Linked DNA regions of Sus scrofa. The protein of the gene in region 2 purifies or fractionates together with the protein of the main gene of each other region. This does not show direct contact. Links are inferred from orthologs where the notes say so. Each region holds a gene or a part of one and is shown on either strand. Other genes may lie near its edges.

Region 1 (4,992 bases), on a different chromosome or scaffold from region 2:
TATTACCATCATGTATCTATTTGCTGGTTTTCTCCCTACTCTTTTTTCACATTACCCCTGTGAAATGCTATACCTGTCATACTGGTCTCCGTGTGCAGGATGAGCCTTGTAATGACCTAATCCGAGTTTCAAAAACTAAGAACTTGTCAGAAGCCAAGTGTCATGTCAAAACGATCCAATCAACTTAACCACAAAATAATCGTTTCATACAATGTTCAGTAAAGACAGCCATGACAGCAAATATGATCAACTCAGGACTTTCAGAGAAACCCTGATTCTTTTTTGGTGAGTCCAAGGCATGTAGAAGTTCCCCAGGGCAGTGACCAAACCCCCACCACAGCAGCCACTGGAGCCCCTGCAGTGACAACACGGGACCTTTAATCTGCTATTCCACAGGGGAACTCCAACCTTGATTCTTTTCTGTAAAAACGGGATTAGATGGTGCATACTGAACAGTTTAATCCAGGTAGCCTTTGAAACAGTGGGAGAACACAGGAAACACTTCACTGTTTATACTGAAAGTACCTTCTGTGGAGGTAGCAATATACAGAACTTCCCTACCTGCCCCAGTCCATGACAGTGCTCTGGATGTAGTGCTGCTGTCACAAACAGCAAGTGCAGCGACAAATTGAGATGATCAAATTTAACCTAAAAAACATCACCTTGTCCAGTTCCAAGCTCCTACTGAAGTTTTAAAATCTTTAATAGTTCATCTCATAGCATTAAAAAATATATATATGCTTTAGCCTTCGAGGTTTGTTGATCTACAAAATTAACATTTTAATTTCAAGGTAAGAAACGTGCTTATTAAGTTATTGCTGGATAAGATAGTTATTCAAAACAAAAGTTGTTCCCATCATAATCAAGTGAATTTAATACACAACTAGTTTGGGATATGACCTTTATTGAGCTTATCCACCGAAGTGGAAATAATGTCTGTACAAAACCAAATGTTTGTTACTATAACTTCTGCATCACAATTAAAATCCAAACAGTTTTTTAAAAACAGTCAACTCAATCAAAACCCACTACTTCAGAATCAATAGCTTCTTTGAAGCCACAGTAACACTTAAATATGGTTAAGACTCGAATGCAGAAATTTGGTTGGTTGGAAAGCTAATTAAACTTCCAACTTGCTCAAATAGAATTACAAAAAGGCAAAATTGTGTTTTTCACAGAGATACAGTCCATTGGAATCACCAACACTGGACAGCTGTTAGAGTATTTAGAGTCCTGAGATAATAAGGAATCCAGGCATCCTTTAGACAGTCTTCTGTTGTCCTTTCTTCCCAATGAGAGATTTGTGGATGTGTGGAATGACACCTAGGGGAGGAAAGGGATACTTTTAAATATACATTATTTTGAAAATTAACACAGGACTTCAAAACCATGACAGTTTAACGTTCAACTTCGAAGAAGTCTTTAAATGTGAGGCCAGAGTATGCAGAAGTAAAAATTCACTAAGTTATATACAGGAATCAATTTTCATGATGCAACCATACTACAGATCACTGAAAATAACACTAAGTGTCCTCTTCTAGTGGGGGAAAAAAGTAAAGAATTATCTAAAGAAATTAAAAAATTTTTAGTATTTACATACCACCACCAGCGATTGTAGCCTTGATGAGAGAATCCAATTCTTCATCTCCACGAATAGCAAGTTGCAAGTGACGAGGAGTAATACGCTTTACCTTCAAGTCTTTTGATGCATTTCCTGCCAATTCAAGTACCTAGAAGACAGAATCTAATCAATCTCCTGCCAACTTTCCTTAGGATCAAGATCCAGAAGAATCAAACCTTCGTGAACGTGTATCTACCAACTGCCGTCTCCCCCCACTACCTGAATGGCAAGATATGCAAAAGCTATAAAGGGGACACGCAATTTTATTTCCTAAAGCAGTCAACTCAAGCTCAGGAGGAACCCAAAATGAACACCAGCCCCCTCTAGCGTTGTCAGAAGCTTCTCACCGCGTTCAGAGCCTGGGAGTTTTCTTGCATCACTTTCCTCCTTCCCTCTCACCGCCTCCCCCCACCACCTTTTCCAGATTACAGGCGTACACCCATTTACCTCTGCGGTGAGGTACTCCAGGATGGCTGCGCTGTACACAGCGGCAGTCGCGCCCACACGTCCATGGCTGGTCGTCCTAGATTTCAGGTGTCGATGAATACGGCCCACCGGAAACTTCATTTTTCGCATACACAAACACAAATGCACAAAGATAGAGGAGCCAAAAATGGTCAAATTATACGCGCGCCAAAGCAAGGGGCACGGAGGCTGATGCAGCAACGCGCCCTAGCATCGCCACACGTGATCGCCCCCCCTTCCCCAATATTTATTGTATCGGTAAACCAAGTCCCGACACCATCACCACGCAAAGACCAAAAGCTCATCTAGTGCAATGATAAACAGAGAAAAAGGAGAGAAAAACGCCGCGATTCCCAGACAGCAGAAACCCCCACTGACCTGCAAACCGGCTCTCTGCGAGCGGGAAACCGCCTTTGTCTTGGCCTTTCCGGAGTCCTTCCCAGCCTTACCGCCAGCCTGCGGCGCGCACACGCCCGCGAGCGAAGAAGGAACGCAGAATACAGGATTACCAAGGCGGCGCGCCCCTCCCCCACCGCGGGGCGGCCCGGGCGCGAGCGGGGCCCGGTGCCCAGCCGGGGTCTCCGGCCCGCCGCGCGCCGCAAGGGCGACCCCGCCCGCCTGCCCCCCGCTGCGCGCCCGCCGCGGCCGCGCGCTTCAGGCCGCCCGCTCACCGCCCTCCGGCTCCCAGCGGCGCTGCGCGCGCCACCCAACCGTCGCCGCCCGCCGCGAGATCGGAGGCTGCTCCGCTCGCCGCCGACAAAACACCTCCCCCCGCTCTTCCACATCCTCTCTCCGCGCGTTCCCAACCGTCACCGCTTCACCCCCATCTCCGTGTGTAACGGGTTTTTCTCCTGCCGGCAAAAACCCGCGTAGTCTTCGAGCGCCTCCGCGAAGTTTACCATTTCGAATTCTGCTGAAGCTCAAACAAGCAAGGCAGAGAAAGGACTAGTCAGTCACCAAGCGAGATCCCGCCGCCTACTCCTCCGTCGCACCGCGATTCAAACTGCGCTGTCTCCCGCCTTCCCCGCTCCCTTTATACTGCAGAATGTTCCCTCATCCGGGAACTCGGATTGCTCATCCCACCAATGGCTGCCACCCGCCCTCGGGCCGCGTCCTTGAAGTCTCAGCCAATGAGCAAGCGAAGAAAAGGGCGGAGGGGCGGGCGCTTTGCAGCTCGAGCTGTTATTGGGGCATGAGAAGGAGGTGGGGGAGAACGGAGGGATGGGAACCCGGGAGAAGAAGGGCACAGCGGCGGGAGGGAAGAAACAGAGCGAGCTACGCTGCTTGAGCAGGGCACCCGCCGGCTTAGTCACGTGCCTGGAGGGAGGAGCTGAGAGGCTCAGGGGAGGGGCACGCAGTAGCTGCCCCCTATTCCACCTTTGCCTCCTTGCTCGGTTCCAGAGACCTCGGAAAGCGGGGACTAGCACTCCCTCCTTCCTGCCCTGCCCTCCCTCCGCCTCCGCCCCGTTAGAACACCTGGCGGGCAGAGACCCGCCTGTCCGCAGCCTTCTTCCGGAGCACGGGGTACCTTCACCGACCCCCCTGCATTCCCGTTGACACCTCCGGTCTGACAGGTGGCGCGAAGGCGTCCAGTGAAAGGCGCCCCGACTCCTTCGCTAACCATAGTCTGGGTAGTGATTTCGCGTTTGTTCCTCCTAGGCAAGTGCCCAGCCACCGATTCATCACGACCCTCTGCTCCCACTTTTTCAGCTGTATCTCCTTCCTCTTCTTTTCTCAGGACTTTTTGAACCCCCTACCTCCCCAACCCCAACAGAACAGTTTCATGGAAAAGACGGTGAAGCAAAGTCACCTCGCTGGTCATAAAAGACCTTTTGGTCTACCCACTGAAGGCTTGGGCTGAGGCGGTATTCTTTAATCAAATCATATTTTTCTAAAGACTACACGTCTGTGGGTTGTACCTATAGCCTGGCTTCTAAAGTTGATTTAGTGAAACATGAAGGCTATTATGTGTCAACTCTTCTATGCTAAACATTTTGCTACTTGACAAATGTTCGGTAAATGTCCTCATATGATTCACAGGCAGTTACAGATGGTCCATGTAATCAAATGCAAATGATGGGCTTAAAAAAATAGTACTGTACACACAGTACTATCATAATGCCAGCTACTTAATTTTCCAACTAATAGATTAATAGCACCTCTGTACACGTCCAGCTGCTTGGAGACAGTAGTGATCCAAATCTTTCATACTTGGAGTTTTAACAGTAATTACGTTATAAACATAATTCAGTATTTCTGACATTAAGAAAATTTGAAATATATACTCTTTAGTACTGTAGTTTGGGTTTCAATCTGAAAGTTTTATCAAGTTTTTTTGGAAATTTGCTGTTAATTTTAAAATTAAAAAATTGGGAGTTCCTGTTGTGGCTTGGCGCTAAAGAACCCAGCTAGTATCCACGAGGACGCGAGTTCAATTCCCGGCCTCACTCAGTGAGTTAAGGATCCTTGGTTGCCCTGAGCTGTGGACTAGATGGCATGCGTGGCTGGGATCCTGCATGGCTGTGACTGTGGTGTAGGCTGGCAGCTGCATCTCTGATTCCACCCCTAACTTGGGAACTTCTGTATGCCCTGAGTGCAGCCCTAAAAGGCAAAAAAGGGAAAAAAAATTAGGGTCTTATATTATCCTTTCATTATCTATTATTGATCTTTAGGATTTGCTGGGTAGAGGGAGGGACTCTGTGTTGATATTGTTTTCCCAAATAATATTTCACCTATATTAGTATTTTATAAGTCATCCCTCCACCTAAATCGTAAATCCACATCCATAATAATCCCTACCTTACATTTTTAACATAAATGTTTTTGATTGATTGATTAATTGATATTGCTTTTTAGGGCTGCAGCCACGCCGCATATGGAGGTTCCCAGGCTAGGGGGCAAATCGG
Region 2 (4,364 bases):
AATTGGTTTTGGGTTTTTTGTTTTGTTTTGTTTTTTGGGGGTTTTTTTTTTTGTCTTTTGCCATTTTCTTGGGCCGCTCCTGCGGCATATGGAGGTTCCCAGGCTAGGGGTCGAATCGGAGCTATAGCCGCTGGCCTACGCCAGAGCCACAGCAACGCTGGATCAGAGCCGCGTCTGCGACCTACACCACAGCTCACGGCAACGCTGGATCGTTAACCCACTGAGCAAGGGCAGGGATCGAACCCGCAACCTCATGGTTCCTAGTCGGGTTCGTTAACCACTGCGCCACGACGGGAACTCTAATTTATCAATTGGGACATCCAAGTTTTTCTTATAAATCTGGATGAAAAACCTCTTTCTACAATGTAGTAACTTCCCAATTACTTGCCTATTTAATAATCGTTACTGTAAATACTCTTTCAAGGATCTAAGCTTTGGGGTTTTTTTTGGTTTTTTTTTTTTTTTTTTTGGTTTTTCTTTTGGCCATGCCCCCTGCATGCAGCAGTTCCTGGGCCAGGAATTGAACATGTGCTACAGCAGTGACAATGCTGGGTCCTCAACCTGCTGAGCCACCAAGGAATTCCTCAAGGGATCTAAGTTTATAGATTCAAAACCTATTATTTATTTTGTGAGTTTACCTGGGTCACTAATTTCTCTGACAGGTGGGTCCCAAATTCTCAATGACTCTTCAGACCCTAAGACTTGGTTTACAGTTCTTAGAAACTCCAAAGACAGAGAAAACTTGGAAACCCTAAGACGATATGTAAGCACAGTGGGTAAAGCACTAAAAAATATGGTGGTTGCAGCCTATGAGAAAAATTCCCACGGGTGTTTTGAGAGTGGGCTCCGGCTGGGGGTGTGATACCTGAGGTAGGTTGGGGGCTCGGTGCTGATAGACACGGCCTTGTACTTCTCATCGTTGCCGTCCAGGATCTCTTCCACCTCGGAGGCTTTTAACAGAGTCACGCTGGTGGCCAGGGTTGTGTATCCATGATCTGCAACCAGAGACGCAGCTGTGGTCACCCTGCTGGCAGGCAGCGGGCAGTAACAGCCAGGAGATGCAGCACACCGAGGTCCTCACGTGCAGGAGGTGGGACAAGCAGGCGTCAACCTCACTACTGCCGATGCTGGCCTCTTCCAAAAGGGCAGTCTGGACCCTAGCATGCTTTCGCGAGTCAGCACTCCCTTAGGATGGACGTGGACTAAGGTGTCCCGGAAGCACTGGCCCCAGGCACAGAGAAGTGCACAGGCAGCGGCAGCTACAGTGCGGCTCCGCCAGCGGGGCCCCTCGGGGCCATGGAAGGCTCCAGAGCGACACCACCAGTGGGAAGAGGTCTGACACCACTGCAGTCCAGGACACAAGCAAGGTGGAGATGGAATGAGAGATGAAAAACACAGTTCTTTTAAAGCAAGAGCCCAGAGAGTGAAAGAACTGCCTCACACCAAACAGGAATTCCCTGGTCCAGTCAATGCCAGCCATCTGGGAAGCAGCCAGTTCTAGGCCACTGGACCCCCAGCTCTCCTATGGAGCCTGGCTGAGAGAGTGGCCTGGAGGAATAAATCGGTTACAGGGAAGGTGTCTCAAAAACACGAGGCAGAAGGGTGGCCAAGATTTCCTTGGAAAGAGGCTGGCAGAGGGGAGCACAGCTGGGGGCTCACTGCAGGGGTGATTGGAACTCCATTGGGGCAGGAGAGGACAAAGGGAGACTTTTTAAAGCGCAAGTGAAATGTTATAGCAGCGGGGGTGGGGGGGGGGGAAGCAGCTCCGGCTCCTGCATTAAAAGAACGCTATTTTGCTGTGGAAAAGACCACAGCAGCGCCTACAAACAAGACACAGCCCGACGGGACAGACTGCAAAGCACACTCACTCACGGGGAAAGCACACAGGCATGCGGGGACTCCAAGGGGCGGGGGTACGCGCACAGCAGCTTTGCCCCCCACCAGAGGCCTGGGGAGCACCCTTCGCCGCCGGCTAGAAGCCCCAGCGCCCCAGGCTCTCAGGCAACATGCACACGCGCGCGCTAGGGGAACGGCTGGCAGAACAAGGTACTACGCTACTACGGACGGACGTGCATTGGGAAGCGAAGCGGTGAAAGCCCGGAGGGCGGCGGGGGCTGGGGCGGCCCCTGCCGCTCCCGCTCAGGCCGCATGGAGAGTGACGATGGCTGGCGACGCACCGCGGAGAGGCGGCGGCAGAGCATCACAGCATTCCTAAAACGTTTTGAGACCAACGTGTCTTCACCTCCCGGCCCCGCCCCCTGCACCCCACGCCCTCTGCTCCCAGCCTCGGCAGAGACCACCTGACCCGGGCCCACCCCAGGATCCCGCCCCAAGACACGCTGGAGTGAAAACGTTTTATCTTCATGATAGAAGCGAGTGGTTTTGAAACAGGTTTACAAACCCTCGTGAAGACGCACCCTTAGTGTTAGGTTTTGTTTTTTTACCATGTGACGATGCAACTATTTTCTTCCTCTCTTCCACAGTGGCTAGTCGCCTCCAGAGCGAGGGGTATCTCTTGTACAGAGAACCTCGGAACATACGGAGGTAGTTTCCCACCTATGAGTAAAGCAAGAAGGCTCATTATAAGGGTCGCACAGGGGCCAAAAGGGACGATCCGGGTGCAGAGGCTCTGTTGGACCACTGACAAACAGACTGCAAATTGGCCCCCAGGCGCCAGGCTTCCAGCTGTAGTAAAAACATATCCTGCTGACACCAAGGGCTCAACTCAACATAAGTTCTGATCTGGCCCACATCTGCCCCTCTGGCAGGGGAATAACATCTGCATCCCCACCACCCAACCAAGTTCAGAAAGGACCCGAAGCTCACAGAGAAGCAGGGATGATGCTGATTTTGGACTAAGGATCTCTGGCACTTTACAGAAATGTAAGGCCCTCTGACTTTCTTTTATCTTAAGAACATGACTTTGATATTTTTACGATGTAATAAAGACCAAAAAGGGCCTTTAATTTTAGACAGATGCAGGATAATTTTCCCCATGGCCCTTGTAGCTTTGTTTAGTAACAAAACTCAAACCAGAAAGGCCAAAGAATTTTCCAAAGAGTTTAAAAAGCACTTATCAGCAATCACTAGATTGCTATATAAATCATTACCACCCCAAACAATGGCTTCAGTTTGCCTGTCCCAAATACTCAACATATGACTTACTTGATGAAAAGAGATCTAGCCCTGAAGTTTTTATAAAGAAAACCTCATTGTTTTGTTTTGTTTTTTTTGTCTTTTTGCTATTTCTTTGGGCCACTCCTGCGGCATATGGAGGTTCCCAGGCTAGGGGTCTAATCGGAGCTGTAGCTGCCAGCCTACGCCAGAGCCACAGCAAAGCAGGATCCAAGCCGAGTCTGCGACCTACAGCACAGCTCACGGCAACGCTGTATCGTTAACCCACTGAGCAAGGGCAGGGACCGAACCCGCAACCTCATGGATCCTAGTCGGATTCGTTAACCACTGCGCCATGACGGGAACTCCAGAAAACCTCATTGTTTCACTGACTTTTCAAAAAAACATCACATGGTCATTTCTGAGTCACGTGGCAGGGGAATGGGCGCTGGCTCCACCTGTGACTGAAAATCACTTCCCTTTCCCAAGTCTTCTTACTCATGGGTCAAATATTTATTTACTGTGAAGTTCACCCCACAAGGACCACTTCCACTATTTTCTCATTTACCTACCCCAATATAGTATGTTTACTATTTAAAAGTTTCTGCATTCTCCAGGAATAAAAGATCTACATGATGGACAACCAGAGCTGCCAAACAGTGTGGGAGAATGTGGCCATGGGGTCACGCGTGCTCCACACTGCAGGCACAGACCCACTCGAGTCATTGGCTTGAGTGTCGTTACCATCCAAGGGTAAACATAGAGTTTCCATTAGGTTTTTGAAAAGACACTGACTCTAATGATCCCTTTAGAACTGAGATCAGGGTTCTGCCTTGTTGGGTTTTCCCAGAACCAGCCTTTGCCATCTGGACCACGGTTTCCCAAATGCAAAGTGAAGGTGTGGATAAGGGGACTTCCTAGGGTCCTCTCAGTTGTGACTCCAGTTTGGTGATTACAGCTGCCTCCAGATGACAGGAGAGGGACGACACACTCACTGCAATTGCAGATGCCCTCCCAAGGCTGCACACCCAACTGGGGAGGGGGCACAGTGGGTGCTGCTAAGGCTGGCCGGTCTCGCTGAATATGGTGCCTGTTTGTCAAGGGCAAGGGGTCTGGAGGCTGTCCACTCAATGCTGTCAGAGGAGCTACTGGATATCTGGAGACAGCACTCTGATCTTGAACCTTTCCCAGAACTCCCACGGTCTGATGATTGCTAAGCCAGGCCCCTGAAAGCACAGCCTCTCCTTTCT

What was found. Proteins that work in one complex are often made in the same cells at the same time.
Region 1: the proteins of SMARCB1 (region 2) and H2AFZ purify together in Homo sapiens (affinity purification with mass spectrometry; 3 studies listed by BioGRID and IntAct, with this or other methods). This does not show direct contact. The link is inferred for Sus scrofa from reciprocal best matches to the Homo sapiens genes SMARCB1 and H2AZ1.

Annotation. Positions count from the first base shown.
Region 1 is NC_010450.4:120,561,933-120,566,924, reverse strand, and holds H2AFZ (histone H2A.Z), read right to left. Parts: upstream 3,174-4,992; 5' UTR 2,989-3,173; coding exon 2,986-2,988; intron 2,543-2,985; coding exon 2,465-2,542; intron 2,183-2,464; coding exon 2,069-2,182; intron 1,731-2,068; coding exon 1,601-1,730; intron 1,324-1,600; coding exon 1,262-1,323; 3' UTR 902-1,261; downstream 1-901. UniProt on the Homo sapiens protein: Variant histone H2A which replaces conventional H2A in a subset of nucleosomes. Nucleosomes wrap and compact DNA into chromatin, limiting DNA accessibility to the cellular machineries which require DNA as a template.
Region 2 is NC_010456.5:49,899,316-49,903,679, forward strand, and holds part of SMARCB1 (SWI/SNF-related matrix-associated actin-dependent regulator of chromatin subfamily B member 1), read right to left. Parts: intron 2,557-4,364; coding exon 2,418-2,556; intron 996-2,417; coding exon 866-995; intron 1-865.